2 linked regions of the Tamandua tetradactyla genome follow. The protein of the gene in region 2 purifies or fractionates together with the protein of the main gene of each other region. This does not show direct contact. Links are inferred from orthologs where the notes say so. Each region holds a gene or a part of one and is shown on either strand. Other genes may lie near its edges. The genes, in order: ATG9A and AP1M1.

Evidence for each region.
Region 1: the proteins of AP1M1 (region 2) and ATG9A purify together in Homo sapiens (affinity purification with western blotting, with the first as the bait; 3 studies listed by BioGRID). This does not show direct contact. The link is inferred for Tamandua tetradactyla from reciprocal best matches to the Homo sapiens genes AP1M1 and ATG9A.

The regions. Positions count from the first base shown.
Region 1 is NC_135329.1:194,968,072-194,977,000, forward strand, and holds the start of ATG9A (autophagy-related protein 9A), read right to left. Parts: upstream 3,710-8,929; 5' UTR 3,227-3,709; intron 3,190-3,226; exon of another isoform or gene 2,908-3,189; intron 2,810-2,907; exon of another isoform or gene 2,790-2,809; intron 2,323-2,789; exon of another isoform or gene 2,265-2,322; intron 1,859-2,264; 5' UTR 1,830-1,858; coding exon 1,727-1,829; intron 1,602-1,726; coding exon 1,558-1,601; intron 1,019-1,557; coding exon 954-1,018; intron 157-953; coding exon 1-156. Other genes in the region: tRNA endonuclease ANKZF1, read left to right, coding at 4,033-4,183, 4,918-5,030, 5,213-5,315, 5,436-5,629, 6,027-6,139, 6,223-6,370, 6,665-6,893, 7,088-7,243 and 3 more. UniProt on the Homo sapiens protein: Phospholipid scramblase involved in autophagy by mediating autophagosomal membrane expansion. Cycles between the preautophagosomal structure/phagophore assembly site (PAS) and the cytoplasmic vesicle pool and supplies membrane for the growing autophagosome.
Region 2 is NC_135337.1:94,819,769-94,828,634, reverse strand, and holds the start of AP1M1 (AP-1 complex subunit mu-1), read right to left. Parts: upstream 3,452-8,866; 5' UTR 3,320-3,451; coding exon 3,278-3,319; intron 3,250-3,277; exon of another isoform or gene 2,874-3,249; intron 1-2,873. Other genes in the region: protein FAM32A, read right to left, coding at 6,356-6,424, 6,654-6,707. UniProt on the Homo sapiens protein: Subunit of clathrin-associated adaptor protein complex 1 that plays a role in protein sorting in the trans-Golgi network (TGN) and endosomes.

The sequences.
Region 1 (8,929 bases), on a different chromosome or scaffold from region 2:
CTACAGACTTGGGCAGGCAAAAAGGCATCTGGCAGAGTGACCTTGACAGGCTCAGTAGGATGAAGACTGTGGTTCACCATCTTGTTGGCAAATAGGATGTCGTAGTCCACACAGCTGACCAGGAAAGTGGTGAAGGCAACCACAAAGAGGAACTGCCTGGGTGGTTGGAAGAGGGGTTATAGACCAAGAGTCAGGGGCATCAGTAAAATAAAGTAGGAAAAGAGAAGAGTCCGTGATCAGCAGAACAAGATTGGAGAATAGCCTCTGGGAAATAGAAGGGACTGGAGAACCCCCAAGGGGCCTTCCCTACTGCTCAGCCCCAGGGACCTTCTCAGGCCCAAACCAGCTTCTTCTTCTTCTTCTTTTTTTTTTTTTGCTCTTAGCCTGAGGCTACACAGAATCAGCCCGCTTTCCTCACCTCATGTAATCTCTGCCATCACCCACAGGACTGTTTCAAAGGTTTTAGGATTGTGGTCCCTGGTCTCCAGTCCCTGATTCCCTTTTGCGATGGTACTTAGAAGTCTTTTGAGGATTTGGACTCTTTTTTTATAAGAGAGAGCTTTCCTAACCCCTTTCCATTGGGCAATGCCATAAAACTTCCTTCCTCCTAGAAGTTTTCTGCCCAGCAGCCTGCCTAAGATGCAACCCAGGCAGAACAGAAACTGTCTCTGAGACCTCCTGATAGGACCATGTCCATTCAATTGGAGCTCTGATGCAATGATCAAGGTTTGCGTTCTCTTTATGGCAGAGCTAGGACTTGGAAAACTTTTCTTATAGGAGAGATAAGAAAAGGGAAGCTGTAAGTTTAGGTGCCACATACAGTTCCTGAACAATAAAGATCTGCAGTTTTGATACTGGGACAGGTTGCACTACCAGGTGAGGTCAGGGGATGAGTGCAAAGAGAGACTGAGAGGTAGTCCTTTCCCAGCTCAACCACCTCTTCTTATACTTACATAAGCTCAAAGATCTCCCCGATGAGCATACAAGTGAAGCCATTTTTCTGATGTAGATTATAAACGTATAATTGTTAAGAAATAGTGGTTGGTAGAGACAGCAGTTAAGAGCACAAACTTTGGTGACTTTCTATGATTATCTAGTTGTTTGACTTCGACCAAGTTACTTAATCTCTCTAAGCTTTCTTCTGCAGTGGTATTGTTGGGAATAATAATACCTGTCTTATAGGATTATTAGGTATATAAGATAATGCATGTAAAGTATTTAACTCAGAGCTGACAAAGAATGAGTCAAAAGACATATAATTATTACAATTATTAGCATCCCATCAAAAAGGAAGATCACCCTTAGAAAATTTCCTTATAAACTAACACCACAAAGTGCAAGGCACACAGCTCTCAAAATATGGGGTATCATTATTTTTAACAATCATTATTTCCCCAACCTCTTTCAGCCTCAGGAAGGGATTAGAGTAAGTGTCTAACTCTAGTCCCTAGAATCTCTTTTAGGGATTAGAGTCTCACCTACCCCATCTTCCCATCAGGGACCTGGCCTAAAGAGGAGCTAAAGGCCCCAGAGTTCCAATGCAAAGACAAAGGATATTCGAGAAAAGAAGAGGTCAAGGTTTTCGATGTGGTGCCAAGGTGCTGTGGGCACAGGGGCAGGTATGTCAGAGCCCTGAAGGTAATTAGGCCCCTTGCTCCCTCAGTGTTCAGCCCCCAGAGCCCCCACCTCCTGGTCCCAGCTGTGGTTGTCCCATCCAAGAACTCACACTTGCTCCCCTCAGGGACGTGCACCAACAGATCCTCTTCCCCGGGGGGTGAATCGCTGTAGGAGGCCTCTAGGCGCTGGTATTCTGTGTCAAATTGCGCCATCACCACCTTCCCCTGTCCACTTTGTCCACCTGCCAGTACGTGGGAAAAAGCACCCTGGTTCAGACCCAGGCACTGCCTGCCTATGGGCCTGGCCTACTATGCCAAAAGGAGTGAGAAAGAATCATTGGGCTTGGTCTCTACTACCAGCCTCCTTGGCCCAAAGGCAGAGGAGAAGAAATAACCCAAGAAGAGCAGCAAGCTCTGGGCTTGAGAGGCCTTAACTCTGGTCAGTTATTCCCAGTTATTGAATGTCTGCTGCTGCCTCGCTGGCCTGAAGCCAGACTCCACCACTGTAGAGGGCTGTTTCAGTTTCTATTCACTGTTGAGAAGGGTCCCCCCACCCCCGCCCTCCAGGAGAAACCCTGGTATCCCCAAGAGATTAGCAGGTTGGAAGCCCTCTGTAAATAAAGGTTTGAGATAAGCACATGGCCCTACCAGCTCCATGGACAGGGTCTGCACCACTCCAGCCCTCGATGCCCTGGCTCGGCAGCTGCTGGGGGAGAAGGTGTCAGGCCCCAGCGAGTGGAAAGTGTGTATAGAAAGGGATCCAACTCTATCACCCCCTCACCCTCCATTAAGAGGAGGCCAAACATGGGGCAGGGAGGCTGCAAGTGGGAAAGAGGATCCCAAGAAATGACTTACTGATCCTATAGAGTTTGAGTCAGTGCAGACCTGAGGTCAGGCAGCCTCCTCTGGACTGTTTCCCCCTTGCCCCACCTCAGCCTTAGAAATCAGTCCTCTTAGGGTCCACAAAACCCCAGGTCCAAAATCCAAAGAGTATTTTCTGAAGAGGACCTTTCTGGCCAACCCCTTCCCCTGCTTCCTTAGTACCAGAGACCCAAGAGGCAGGCATGGATCCTAGGTGGGAAATTTTCATTGGATCACTGTGGCCCCCTGATCCTGAGCCAATTAGTGGTTCGCTAGGACCCTGAAGCCAGGCGTGGTCTTGGTGGCACTCACCCAGTCCGTACAGACCCTGGGGGCCAAGGCTCTCTGCCCAGCCTGGCCCCGGTGGGATTCCTTGGATTAGTGAGAGCCCTGGCTCCGGAGAAGCTGACCAAGCCCTCAGGGAACTCACCACTCAACGGGTCAGCGCTGACCCCCGGCCCATCGAGCCCCGGCCGGGTGTGGGCTTGGGGTTTTCTGCGGATGTCGGAGGGATCAAGCCAGTCCTACAGCCGATACCTGGGGTGGGTGCCTTCCCATACCCAGCCGCTACGACCCGAGACCAGCGCTCCCAGGGTCGCCCGGCCCCAGGCCAAGCGCTCAGCTTATAACAGCGGACAACCTCCCGCGCGGCCACGCCGCCAAAGCGCGCCCCCGCCCGCGCGCTCCCGCTATCAAAACATTCCAATTGCGCGTTCCCGCCCCGCCCGAGCAGCCCCTACCCCCGTTACCCGCCACGAGATCACTTAGGGCTGACCGGGTACCCCTGGCCGGGCCCGGGCCCTGGGAGTCCAGATACCGGTCTTGCGTTTCACCTCAGGAACGGTGACCAGGGTGATTACTGGGCTCGATCGGCTCGGCTCGGTTCAACCCGGAGCGCTAGGCCCGGCGGCTGCCACTTACTGTCACCCTCAACTAGCCTGGCCAATGAGCATGAGGGGCGGAGACGCTGCGGCCAATTGTTGGCTCTGGGGGCGGGACTAAAGGTTCGAGGCGGGCCTTGGGCAGTCTGACGACCAATACCACGTTCTACGTGAGACGGGGTTCTGGTGCGGCCGCCTTCGTTTGTCCCCTTCGCTGCTCCGTAGTGACGAGACTGTTGCGGTGTCACAGAAATCCAGTTCGGAATTGTAGTTGTGAGTACTCTCGGCTCACCCAAGGATTTTGGGACAGCTGCTGAAGGCGTGGACGAGTCTACCCAGTTCAGTCGTTGCCGGAGCTCGGCTGTCGAGTAACAAAGAGAGGTCTGTTAGGGAACCTTAAGTGATATTAACTCTGTTAGACTCGATTTGAGAACTGGGTTCCCCATTTCACTCGTGTGGTCCGAGACTTGGGCGTTTGAAAAAGCAGGCTGGGGTCACGTATCTGTCCCCAGAATTGGGCCGTGAGTACGGAGGTGAAGGCCAAGGGGCCTCGCGGCATGGGAGAGACCAAGGCAGTTAATTAGGTGATCGGGCAATAGTATCTCGCCTTGGGGAGCTCTGATCCTAACGCCTTTCTGCTCCAGGAGCTTCTTCCAGATAATTTCTGCTCAGTTATGTCGCCCGCTCCAGCTGCATCCCTGGGTCCTGCGTCGGTCTCCCTGTTTGACCTCAACGCTGATGCGCCTGTCCTTCAGGGCCTGAGCCTGGTGAGCCACTCTCTCGGGGAGGCTCTGGCACAGGCTCTGCCTACTACTTCCTGTTCAGGTATCCGGGGAGGTTTGGGGTGGACCTACGAGGACCCATGAAGTTTTCTTTGGAACATGTTGCTCCTCTAGGGAACGCATTCTTTTTAGTGTTCCTCAGCTCTGTAGCACACATTCACTTCTCTTTCTACTGGATGAAATGTACCTCTTTAGTTAATCTCTGGATAGTTTCCAACACAGACCTCTGAATTGTTACCAAACAAGTCTCTTGTCATTCCTTATATTTGATAACATTAACACCACTGCCTTCAAAACACATTTGAAAATTCCAAGATACATTCCAAATTTTAACTGAACTCCAGTCATCTTTTGTTCTTACTAAATACAAAACAAAAAACAAAAACAAGCCCCAAGCCTTATGTATTTGGTTTTGTACGTTTGAGTTCATCTGTGGCTACATATTTTCTTGTACCTCACAGTTTAAGAGAACTGATGCTTACTGAAATTATTTTCTACAGGATTCCTCCAGTTCCTTTGTTTCATGTCTGTACAGTGTTTCATTTATATTCATTTTTCCGTACATCCTTTCAGAAGCATATTTATCATATAAGGTGATTGCCAGTTCATTTATTTCATGATTACTAGATTGTAAATTTCTTGAGGATAGGGACATGTCATTTCTTCCTTTTGTATTTCCTTCTGCTTTATATATCAGCAGTTACTGTATATATATATATATAATTCCAGGAACTATGGCTTTCTTCTCCCTTTCTCCTTTTACCTTCCCCTTATTAGGTTCAGGAAAGAGTGGGAGCCCAGAAAGAAAGCCCATCCAGAGTCCTCCTGATATTTCAGAGAAGTTATTTTGTTCAACCTGTGAGCAGACCTTCCAGAACCATCAGGAACAGGTAAAGGGCTAGAGTTCAAAGCTAGATGTTGGTGTTATAGGTATAGTGGTGGGTGGGGAGATGTAGATAACTTGTTTGTCACAGTAATATCCTGCTTTGACTGTGGTGTTACTTAGTCATTACTGATCTTGGCCAGCGTGGGAGCATCTCCACCTTCTGCTTCCCTCTTTGCCTCCTACCAGAGGGAACATTACAAGCTCGACTGGCATCGGTTTAACCTAAAGCAGCGTCTCAAGGACAAGCCCCCCCTGTCAGCCCTGGACTTTGAAAAGCAGAGCTCTGGAGGTGATGCCTGGTGGGAGACCTGTGTGGGTGTAGGATGTGGGGGTGGCAGAAGGCCCTCATAAGGAGCTTGATGAAAGGTTAAAGGTTCCAAACTTGAATTTCTCATGTTGTCGTCCTCAGGAGATCTTTCCAGCATCTCAGGATCAGAAGACTCAGACTCACCCAGTAAGGAGGACTTGCAGATACTGGATGAAGAGAGGGCTGAATTTGAGAAGCCTAACAGACCCAAAGGCTTCCACCCCCATAGGATTCTTTTCCAAAATGCCAAGGGCCAGTTCCTCTCTGCCTACCGCTGTGTCCTAGGCCCTCACCAGGCAAGTGACAGCACAGGTTGTGTGGTCAACCCCACTAGATTTTCCCTCAGCCCAGTCCCTTGTTTCTTCCCTTCCTTCCTAACTGGGTTTAGGTATCACATTTGAGAGCACAGTCTTGGGTTGAACTGACCCAAATCTTGGAAGGGTCAATGTAATGGAGTTAAATTTGGAAACAGACTTATCTAGGGTTGAATTGTGATTCTACCACTTGATCTTAGTTACCTCTACAAGCCTCAGATTTCCTTATTTGTAAAATGGACACAAGCCTCAGGGTGGTTTTACTAAATGAGATAAGGTATGTAAAGTACCTGGCACTGGTGCTTTGAAATCTTTTATTAGTTTCTTGTTCTCAATGAATGTAACAGGTAGAATGTTTGTGCTCTCCTTTGTCATCCAGGTGCCCCCTGAAGAGGCAGAACTGCTGCTACAGAACCTGCAAAGTGGAGGCCCTGCCTACTGTGTGGTGCTTATGGCTGCAGCTGGACACTTCGCTGGTGCCATTTTCCAAGGGTGAGAGGGTGCTGCATGGGGTGAGAATGGAACAGAGCCTGTTAGCACCAGCTGGTGCCCAGTACTGAGTCTTGTCTCTGCAGAAGAGAAGTGGTGACACACAAAACCTTTCACCGTTACACTGTGCGGGCCAAGCGAGGTACAGCCCAGGGGCTTCAGGATGCCCGGGGTGGGACTTCCCGTTCTGCTGGAGCAAACTTGAGGCGCTACAATGAAGCCACATTATATAAAGTGAGTTAGGCCTCCCAGGTCCAGTGTTCCTCTGATCCACTTTTCTTTCCCTCTCAGTTCAACTCATTAAATACTACATTTAGGAGGTTTTTGATCCTATATCCTTCCAGGCTTTATTTCTGGGTAGACACAGGTAGAATAGGGATCTCCAGGGGCTTTAGTCCTCTCACTCTTTCTCGCTCTTTGTTATCTCATGCCTCCTACTTCCTGCACATGATCTGTGGGTCATTTTTTGATTGGAGGTGAAAAAATATCAAGTGAAGCTATGCAGGGCTGAGTTATTCTCTCCTCTAGGAGGTTCGTGACCTGCTAACAGGGCCAGACTGGGCTAAGGCACTGGAGGAAGCTGGGACAATACTGCTGCGTGCCCCCAGCTCTGGCCGATCCTTGTTCTTTGGAGGCCGTGGAGCACCCCTGCAACGGGAGGATCCCCGACTTTGGGATATCCCCCTCGCCACCCGCAGGCCCACCTTCCGAGAGCTACAGCGTGTGCTCCATAAGCTTACCACCTTGCACGTCCATGGTAAGCCTTAGACCCAGTTCCCCAGACTCCCTAGACCTTCTTGTACTTTCCAGCCTAAGCCTCAGGTTCTCGTTTGTGTATCCAGAGAATACTCTAGCCCTCAAACTGCAGCCCAATGCACATCTTCATTGAAAGAGACCTGGGCTGGCTTCTCTTCAGCAAAGCTCGAGAAAGATCTTTTTGCATTATGACAGGAGAAGACCCCCGGAAGATAGTCAGATTGGACTCACCTCAGACACACTGGAAGACAGTGAGAGAGGAGAGGAAGAAAGCTTCTGAAGAAGAAAGAAGAAAGGTCCCCAGTGATGGAAATGAAGCACTTGAGCAGAATGCAGAATTTCCCAAACAGGGTTTGAGCACCATCTGGCAATTATCAAATACCTCTCTAGTGTCTACTCTGATAACTTACCCACTTCCCCATTTAAAACACATGCATACAATAGCGTCTGCAGAAATGGGGTATGTCATAGCTGTTACTGAGACTTGTTTAGTGGTCTTTTTTCCCAATCTGTTATCTCTTATAGATCTCTATAGTATTTGGAATAGTCTTGACATGGAGTAGATACTTGAATCTCACATAGTTTTACCTGTCCTTTTGGATCCTGTGATTTTGAGCTAAGAGCCACTTCCCTGGCTATAGACCCTTGACCTGCACAGCTGTCACTGCTTCCATGGTTTCCTTTATTGTGTACCATCCTAGGGCTATTCATAGGGAAAGCCCAGGGACTTTTGTTCTTATATATCGTCTTCTGGGCCTGTCCTCATCTGGAACGAGAGCCTGATTTCTGCGTGTGAACTAATGGACTCAGTTCTTGATATGCTACTTTATTTATCTTGGGTGACAAATAAAAACAATTTCATTTCAGGATCATCTGGATTATCTCTTTATATACATTCTTTGCATCTGGGGTAACCATCATCCTTCCACCTTCTGCTTATCCCTTAGATGGATCTAATATTTCAATTTTCTTCCCAGGTACAGGGTTGGAGGGAGAAGACAGCTTCCAGGTGGAGTTGGAACTAGTAGAGTTGACACTGGGGACCCTAGGTCTTCGTGAATTTGAAGTATTGCCTAAGCGGAGCCGGAAGAAAAGGAATAAGAAGGACAGAAACCACGATCTGGGGGCTGGGACACATATGACTCTTCCTCAGCAACCTCATGGTGATGAGCCCCTCATACGGTTGGCGCAGGCAGATACAGCCTCCTTGGGACCTTCACTGGATGAGGCCAAGGCCTCTGGTCAGCCAGAGCTCTGGGATGTGCTTTTAGCTGCTTGCCAAGCCGGAGATGTTGGCATGGTGAAGCTCCAGCTAGCTACCAACTCCTCAGACCCTGGAGTTACATCTCTGCTCAGTGCCCCCTTGGGCTCCAGTGGCTTTACCCTCCTACATGCAGCATCTGTAGCTGGGAGAAGCTCAGTGGTTCGCCTGCTGTTGGAAGCAGGTGCCGACCCCACTGTGCAGTAAGTGAGGGCCCCCTTCCCGAGCCATTTTGGGTATAGAGAAGATGAGCTGGAGTCTAAGTCAGCACTGGCTACTTGACAGTACTCCCTTGGTCTGGTTAGGTGATACTGGGAAAGACAAGAGTCAAGTTGAACCAGTATTTGGGGGGTTTCGCACCTAGGGACTCCTGTGCCCGGCCACCGTATACAGTTGCAGCAGACAAAACAACACGTAATGAATTCCGAAGGTTCATGGAGAAGAATCCAGATGCTTATGATTACAAAAAGGCTCAGGTCAGCTGGAAAAGGAAGAGGGAGAGTGGGAAGACATTATAGATCTTGGCTGGATTCTTTCTACTTTCTTATGGTTTTGCCAAGGCTAACTTGTGTAGATCTTACCTAATACCTTCCTTGAAATCCTCCAGGTGCCAGGACCACTGACACCAGAGATGGAGGCACGGCAGGCTGCACGGAAAAGGGAGCAGAAGGCAGCCCGGCGGCAGCGGGAGGAACAGCAACGGAGGCAGCGGGAGCAGGAGAAGCAGGAGCAAGAGGAACGGCAGAGATTTGCTGCCCTCAGTGACCGAGAGAAGG
Region 2 (8,866 bases):
CCGACGTGGGACTGCTGCTTTTACAGATGGACACATCAGGTCCCGCAACGAGTACAGGTACGCGGGTCGGGACCCTAAGGCCACCCCATGCTCAACTCTGCTCTCCTGGTTCCTGAGGGCCTCCTTCTCCCCAGTTTCCAATTCCTGGGGTCCTCAGAGGCTTCAGGAAGAACAGGAAGCCACTGGCAGGCCACGTGTGCCCTGTGCCAAGCCTAGGGACATAGCAGTGACCAGGGCAAACCAAGGCCCTTCCTGAGGCCTGAGCAGCAAGGCAGGAGTGGCGTGGCTGGTCCACAGAGGACTGAGAGCAACGACCAGGAGGCCCAAAGCAGGAGGCTGGATTGACTTGGGGGAGGTGGGCTACGCACTGGAGAGATAGCCCCTGACCCCCCGCAGCTCTTCCCCAGAGAGCAAGAGGGTCTTGGAAAGAAGTCAGACTGGGTCCCTGCCTGCGTGCATCTCCCAGCCCCTCCGCCCCTCTCCCTACTCTCCCCCTGGCACGGGGCCTCGGCACTTGCAGTTCCCTCTGCCTGGAAGGCTTGGCCCTGCACCTCTGCGCAGACACACTTCCTCCCAGAGGCCTCCCCACCACCCCACCCTATCGTCACCGAGGCCGACACGCATTCACGTGTCTTTGCCTCTCGCTCCCTGAGACCAGCGATCACGCCACCTCACCCATGCTGGCGGGCAGCATGCCCAGCCCACAGCGGGGGCTCGCCAGCATCTGGGGAGGAGGAAAAGGAGCTGGAGTGACGTCTGGGTATCTGGCGTGACGTCTGGGTATCTGGCATGTGCAGCAGTGTCACCCACTGAGAGGGACACCGGGTACAATGGGGAGCTGGTTTTGGAAAAGGCCAAGTTTGGAGGACAGGGTGAGAGCTGCGGTGTGAATCTGAGGGTAATTAACAGGCTACCAGGGCGAGAAGGTAGCGGAGGCTGGTCCCGTTGGGCCCCGTCACCCAAGGGGAGGCAGACAGAAGGGGCTGGCCAGGAACAGCGAGGAGAACAGAAGGAGACCCAAAGGGCACAGCCCAGAAACCAAGGGAAGCGGTCTGGATGGGAGAGCGGTCCTGCTGAGGAAGTCAGATGAAGGTGGCGAAGTGTCCCTGGAGGGCTTTCCCCAGCCACGGTTGGTAACTTTGGGGTCCAAGGCCTGGCCTGCAGACAGATGCATGGTTGAGAACTTCTTCATGTGCCACTGACTTACTCTTGATTAAATTCGTTCTGTTCTGGAGGCAAACTTCTAAACTGTGAGGTCCACAGGGAGTGATGACACCAGGCGCCTGGGCTGTGAGAAGGGGACCCGCAGTGGCCCGGGGAGCCCCCCGAGAGGTGAGTCTCCCCGTGTTCCTCCTGAAATGCTCGTCTTGCAGAGGCTCTGCTGCCTGTGCTGACAGCTGCCCACCTCCACTCCTGCCTGGCCATCCTCACCACCCACGGCCCTCCCAGAACCAGGCTCTGGGCTCCAGCGTTGCCCAGACTTCTGGCTTGCAGCCCTAGCAGGCAGCTCCACTGGGACACTTCCTCACCTAACTGCCACCTGGTTCATCTTTCCAAACCCAGCCCCAGCATCTCCCCTCCACCACAGGCCTCTTAAACCTCTCCCTTCCTGCCAGCCAAAGAACAGGTGGACAACCACATTCCCTTGGGCATGTCCCTGCCATTGTGGCTGCCCAGACCCGACTATGTGGTGATGTCTCTGCTCCTACATGTGACCCCTGCCCCATTAGACAGCAAAGTCCACGGGGGGGGGGGGGGGCTGAGCCCATCTCATACATTCACATTCACTCTGTTGAGTCTGCAGTGACCCCATGAAGACTCGCCTGACCAACGAGGAAAGCGAGGCTCAGAAAGGAGAAGGCACTTGCCCAAGGTCACACAGCTCAGCCCTAATTCCTCAGCCACAGTGAGGTAGTCACACCAATGGGTCCCTTGACCCTGGCACTGGACTTGGTGCAAGCTGCATGCTCACACAACATTTGCTTTAGGAATGAGCCAGCTGAAACAGGCAGCCTGCTGGCACTGCTGGTGACAAGGGGGCTCGTACTACAGGCAGTCAGGGAATACTGCCCCTGCCAGCCCCAGCTGTGCTTTGTCTTCCCTGCCTCTGGGTCAGCCAAGGAAGGAAGCCCAACCACGGGATCCACAAGTTGTTGACTCTGGGTGGCATCCAAGGCGGTCAGCTCAGGCAAGCCCAGTTAAAGTGACTTCAGGAAAAGTGCTCAGAGAGAATGGAGGGGCAGGCACCTCACCTCTTCACTCCCATGTGTTTCTGCGTGAACTCTGGCCCAGCCCCTGCACCTGACACCCACATTTCTATCACTGATTGACGTCATACTTGACCCTGGACCAGTTCTCGTGACTCTTGACTTCAGAAGTCTTTCACCGGGGTGTACGTGGGGAAAGGCAGCAGCTCTTTTGAAAGGCTTCAATGCCTCTTTTCTGTGAGAAGCTTTCTCCCAGGTCCTCCTTGTGACTAACTCCCAGGTTCTCATTACATACCCTCACTACCCCAATCCATGTTGATAGGTGCTTCTGGGAACTAACATCTGCCTCCCCCACTAGACTGAGCTCCAGAAGGACGGCGGCTACCGCCGTCTTTGCTCCAAGTCTGAGCACCCTCTCTGACATTTAGCTCAGCTGAATCAACAGATGACTCCGGGTTCCATTCTAAGTCGACCGGCCACTTCTCTGGGGCTTGGGTAACGTCATGTTTGTTCACTTCTATGCCTGACTTTCCCATCTTGCTTAAACCTCGTACTCCATCACGTGGCGTAATTCCACCTGGGACAGGCCCCGAGAAAGCGCCGGAGAAAAACCTGCAGCTGCCTCCGAGAGCGCGAGACCGGCCGAGGGTGCCCTGTCCCCGCCCCGCCTCCGCCTCCGGCCAAGGGTCGCGCGAACCATAGCCGCGGGGCCCAGCTCCCCAAGCCGGCCAGACCCGCCATATCCCCGACTTCCGGGTGCCGGGTGCCCCCCAACCGAGGCTTGAGCCCCGCCGCCAGACGCGCGAGAGATCGTGTCGGTTTCCTGCTGCCGGTTACTCGGCAACGGCAGCGGCCCACCGCGTTGCCTAGCAACAGGGCGGGGCCCATAGACCCAAGACCACCGCCCGGTTACCTGGTAACAGGGTGGGGTTCATAGGTGAGGGCCGCCGGCCTCCAGGCCTGACTCTAGGGTGGTGCCCGCTGGCTGGTTACCTAGCAACAGGGTGGGTCCCCGCTGGGCGAGGCCCCCGCCGGCTGCCTGGCAACGTGAGGGTGGGGAACCTCCATACCTTGCCCTTCAGGTCCAGCACGTAGACGGCGCTGGCTGACATGGCGGCTACCGGAGGCCTCGACAGGGGCCTCAGGTGGCGGCGGCGGCGGGGGCTGCCGGGCGTTGAGGAAGACCGGGCACGCCCCACGACGGTTCCCCTCCACTTCCGGTCCCGGGCGCCGCGCGGGGACCGTTATATCCGGTCAGGGAGCAGCTGCTGGTTCTGCGCAGGCGTAGGGCGGGGTGTGCGCAGGCGCATACGTTGATTCCGGCTCCCGCCTCCAGCATCCGGGAAGTGAGGCCCAGAGCGGCGGGCTGAAGAATCAGGGCGCCCTCTAGCGGCCTGGCTGGACGACGGCCCCAGAGCAGCTGGAAACCCCAACCCGTGCGCCGAATCAGGTGAGAGTTTCAGGTGCTGGAAGCGCCCTGCGCACAGCCCTTAGGAAGTCTAGGAAACTAAGAAATGCACAGTTTGAGAGGGAGCGAAACCTTAGGAAGTCACTACTTGTCATTGTCTCAGTTGTCGTCCATGACCTCGTTTGTGCCTGTTTTAAGTCCTGGAGTGACCTAGTGAAAACCATCCCCCTCGGAGTACAGACACAAAGTACATACGTGTTTGCATTAAGTGCAGGTTAGTGGCCATGGTGAGTGTTGCAAACTGTGGTCCCTGACAGATCAGTTGATTCACATTCCGTTTGCTTTAGGAACACTCGGGGTGTGGGGTCATGCCTGCATTCCACCCCAGTAAACCGTCCACACTGCCCTGGAGAGCCAGCCCTGCAGCCCACCTGTCAAATATCTTGTCTCTACCCTATTTCTAAGTGGGGTTTGAGGGATGGTTCTTGCCACAGTGTATTTCTATATCCTCTGCTCAGGAGAGAGATGTGTGAGGAAATCCAGAGTAGAAAACTGGATGAAGACAGCTAAGGACCCTGCAAACCTTCTGGCACAAAGGGTGTAGCAAGAAGCCGAGACAGGGGCTGGGGCACCAAATGTCTGGCAAACGAGCCCTGAAAGGAACGTGATGAGATGTCAGGGTGGTGCCTGTCTGCTGCCTAGGGAGAAAAGCAGGGTTCTGTTCAGCAAGAGTTTAAGTTAGGGACCAAAATGCAAGAAATACCTGGCCTCATACTCTGCCCAGTTTATTACAGTGTGTGTGTTTTAGTCTTTTTGTTAACCAAACTGTCCGTGCTCACTGTGGAAAACTTGGGGAAGTGCCAAAAGGAATTAAGACAAAAAAGATCACCAAGGAGAGGTGAACACAACACCTCTGGGCCTGCTGTCGGTATTGTTTAGATGTTCAAAATCAGCATCAAGAGGACTGGGAGCAAGTGATGGGACAAGTCTTTTGAGGAAATAAAAGACTCCAGGTGCCAAGAGTAACTCTCAATCAACGCTTTCTCAGTAAACAAATTACCTGTAACCCCCTTTTCTCCCTACGTGGGGGTTTTTGGGTCACATCTGAATTTCACCCTTGGTTTTATTTTATGTACTAGCTGGATAAGACTTCTGCAGTGTCACAGAAAAGACCCAACCTGTAGACCCGGGTTTTTCAAACTTTGCTGTGCATCAGGGACACCTGGGGAGCTTTGAAAAATCACAAAGATGGGTCCCCCACCCCAAGCCAATTGAAATCAGAATCTCGGGGCTGGGAGTCCAGGCATCAGTGGCTTTTACCGCACAGAATTTGAGAACCGCCATGGTGGACTCCAACAGTGGGGGCTGCTTGCCACTCACAGCTAAGAGAGGTCCCACCCACATGCTCGGGGTGTGGCCACGTGTCCTTCTCTGGACAGTGAAATACGTGGGGGGAGAGAGAGACAGATGCTGGAAGACAAAGATGCCATCTTGCACTTTCCTGTCCCAGCTGAGCAAGCTGTGACTGCGTGACCTAAACTACCCCAGCCCATGGATGAGAACGGCCCAAACAGGCACAGTCCACCCACAGAAGGGGGAGATGAGAACCCCCTGCTGTCTCAAGCCACATCTGCAGCAGTTCTTCCGCGATCCACTGACTGTGATTAACTGGACCATCTACCATCCTGCTGGAGCAGCATCCCCAGTGGTAATCAAATGGCACGGAGTTCAGACCCGCAGACTCACACTTAATAAGTGGACTTTGCTTTATTTCGTAGTTCACACATGCTGGCTCCAAGCCCAACACTTGGTTTTCCTCTTGTCACTTTGTTACTCTTTCAAATCTACCCCAACAGCAACTTCTCCCCAGTAGCACGTGGGGCGATCCTGGTCTGGTGAACGGAGACCCTCAAGGTCCTGGCTCGCCAGCGCCAGCCCCTGGGTCCTCCCATTTGACTGCACCCAGGGCTGCTGGCCCCAGGACTCTGCCTGGCCCTGTCACCCCCAAGGTGTCCTGAGGCTGGAAATGCCAACCAGGCTCCAGGCCCCATGCCAACTCTGAACAAACATAAGGGACTGCGGGGCGAGTCAGGGTTTGGGCTCCATTACAAAGAGTGGTGAGATCCATTAGCCGTGTCTGCCATGGATACCATGGCAACACCCATTAGCAGTGTCTGCAATGGGGGCACTGGCACAGAAAGGGACAAGGCAGTCTTTCCACCCTCCCCTTGGGTGGCTGCTTCCCAGGCTGGAGCTATCCAGCTGGCAAGATAGCCGAGGGGCAGCATGAAGGCCATGAGCTCTGCACAGCTTCCCAGGGTCCCAGATGGAAAGTCACAAGCCCAAGCTTAAGGGAGCTTCCAAGGGCAGCCCACCAGGGTCCATGCTGGCATCAGTTCCTTCTCTGGAGGTGGTTTTATCCAGGCAGAGAGAGCCAGCTGGCTGTCCTCAGGGGGCTGGATGCAATTCAGGGAGGGAGGTGGGAGGCGCAACATTTTCACGTGGTACTTCTACAGAAATCACCCTCACCTCTGCATAAACTTTTAAAAATTTCCAGTCCAGGAAAAAAAGGTTTATCTTCTCTGTGCTACGGAGAAGCCAACAAAAATGAGCAAAAGGACAGTCTCGTTTTAATGAGTTCCGGAGTGAAGGTATCCAAGCCTTGAAAAGCCCTGTCTCAACAGAGAAATGCAAGAGTGTGGGAAAAAGAATGTGTCCTGAAACTGCGGGGGCCGGGTGGCTACTTCGTCCAGCTGACTTTGGGAATGTCGTAGTGCTCCGTGAGCGTGTCCAGGTGTCTGTTGAAGTCCTGGGAGAGCCAAGGAACAAGCTCGTCTCAGCCCAGACCTCAGGCCCGCCCTGCCTGTCCCACACCCATCTCTCCTCTTTGAGTCCCTCCTCCCAAACCCACCCGGCCAGGTCTCACAGAGCCCGGACACTGGGGTCCCCCCTAACGAGCCGGTCACTGCCCTCCCACCAACACTCCCAGGCCCCCTCTGCCAGACTCCGGGCCCAGCTGGGACCAGCACCCAACTCACCTCCACTCTCTGCTTATGGGTTTTAGATGCTTTCTTCAGGATCCTTTCCATTTGCTGAAGAGAAAGGAGAAACGGAAGTGAATTCACAAGCTCAGCTCAGCCTGGCCAGCATGTGACAGAGGACGGGAGCCTGGAATGGCTGAAGGTCTCAGGCTGCACGTTCTGCCCCCCTCCTTCACCTTCACCCAGGCAGGTCCGAAGGGGAAGCCCAGCTCCAGTGACCACTGGGAACCTGGGTCAGTCGCCTCTGTACCAGGCCTCATGAGGGGCAGAAGAGGACACAACATCAACCAAGCACCCACCAGTGGCCGCCCTGCAGGCACCTCTACGTGTGCTTCCCAGAGGGTGTGACACTGACAGTCATCCCAGCCGGGTTTTAGGAAGGACAAGAAATGAGGACAGTAAAGGGGTCAGCCAAAGGAGCTGCCCAAATGACTGCCAGCCTCAGATACGGTCACAGCGCCTGGCTGTCCTCACGGCTACCACGATCACACTGCAGAGGTGACTCTGGGGTACAGGTCCTGCACCTTAACCGACTCCAAAACAATTTCAAACCTGAGGGGCAGTACCTGCAGGGCCAGGCAGGCCCCGGGCTGTGCTTGGCTCCCACACTGGCTAGTGTGGCGATCACAGCCGACTCGCCCGGGTGCTTCCCAGGAATCGCGCCTCGCGGCGTTCATGCTCTCATGCAGCTCCTGCCACGTGGACTCGGGCCTGGCCCCGTGACTCAGTTTACACAACAGAAGGCAATAATGCAGAAAGCAGTGCCTGGGCTGGGATGGCGCCATGAGACGCATGGGCAGTGCTGCACTCTGGGAAGCCACCCACCATGCAGGTCTTTCCGGACCTACAGGACGAGAAAGCCCAGGGAGAGAGGGGCCGTGGGGCTGTGCTCGGGGCAGATGTGTGAGTGGTGAGAGGGTCACCGTGGGCCTCCAGGGCTTCAGCCCCAGCTGCCCCTTGGCTGCGCGAGACCCCAGGCCAGACCTGCAGGACCACCTGGCTGAGAAACAACAACACAGTGCTGTCAGCTGCCACCTGTGCTCCTCCCTCCGAGGTGTCTGCGCTGCCCCATCCCTGCGTCTCCCTCCCCTCAACCATGAGCCCACAGGAAGCTGGACTCTGTTCTCACCAGGCCCCTACAAGAAGCCATGCAACTAGACCAGCTTTCACGCAATAGCAGGTGCTGAGCTGGACTCTGCCCTCCTGTAGCCAAGTTTGCTGGGTTTCCTGGTGCTGTTGGTACCCCCACTTTGTAGATGGAGGAATCAAGGACCAGGCCATGCAGCTGGAAATGGGATGGAGATGCCAAGCTGCTGCCCCCTCCACCTGGCCTGGAAGCCAGGGGGCTGTCCAGCCTCTCCTCAGTCACTCTGATCACCTGACAGGCTCCCACAGGGCCACCTCATTTCCAAGCACTGCCCACCTCCTCCACCCCACCTGCTCACCTGCCTCATCTCCCTCCCCCCTCCCCCAATCAAACAAATCCCATTTAAATGATGATAATAATTTTCCCTTGGCCCTACCCCACCTCCAGCTACCATCCCTTTACTCTGTCCCCTTCACAGCAAATCCTGCACTTATTCTCACTCCTGCCACCCCTCTACCCCCGACCCCCCAGAACCCACTCACTGGCTGCAGGGTTCCCACTGAGGACTCTCAGTGCTCTTCCCATGCAAACCCTCAGCAGCATCTCAGGTTGCCAGCCATGTCCTCCTCCTCAGAACACTTTCTCCACTAGGCTCCCGCAGATGCAGGCTCTCCTGGTTCTCCTCCTCCCTCTCTGCTGCTCCTCTGTACTTTACTCCCAACCACGCTCTAATCGTGGAGTGCAGCAGAGCTCGGCTCAGACCCTGGACCTCTTCCTGGCCAGTGCCCCTCCCTCTGAGTATCTCATCCAGTGATCCCCAAATGTTAATGTGGGGCCCAGGCCTTTCCTCCCAGCTGAGGGCTCTACAAGTCAACACGCCACGAGAATGTCCCACTAGGCATCTCAAACTGAACTTTTCTGAATTCCAAGTCTTGATTCCCTCTTCTACCCCTGCCCTGAAACCTGCTTTGCCTGAAGCCCCTCAGTAAACTGTACCTTCACTGTCCCAGTTGTTCTGGTCAAAATCTCGGTCACCTTGATGTTTCTTTCCCAGCCCACATCCAACCCCCTCAGCCCCAATCCTGTGGTTCTTCCCCCAGCTCTGCCATCCTGTCCTCCATGC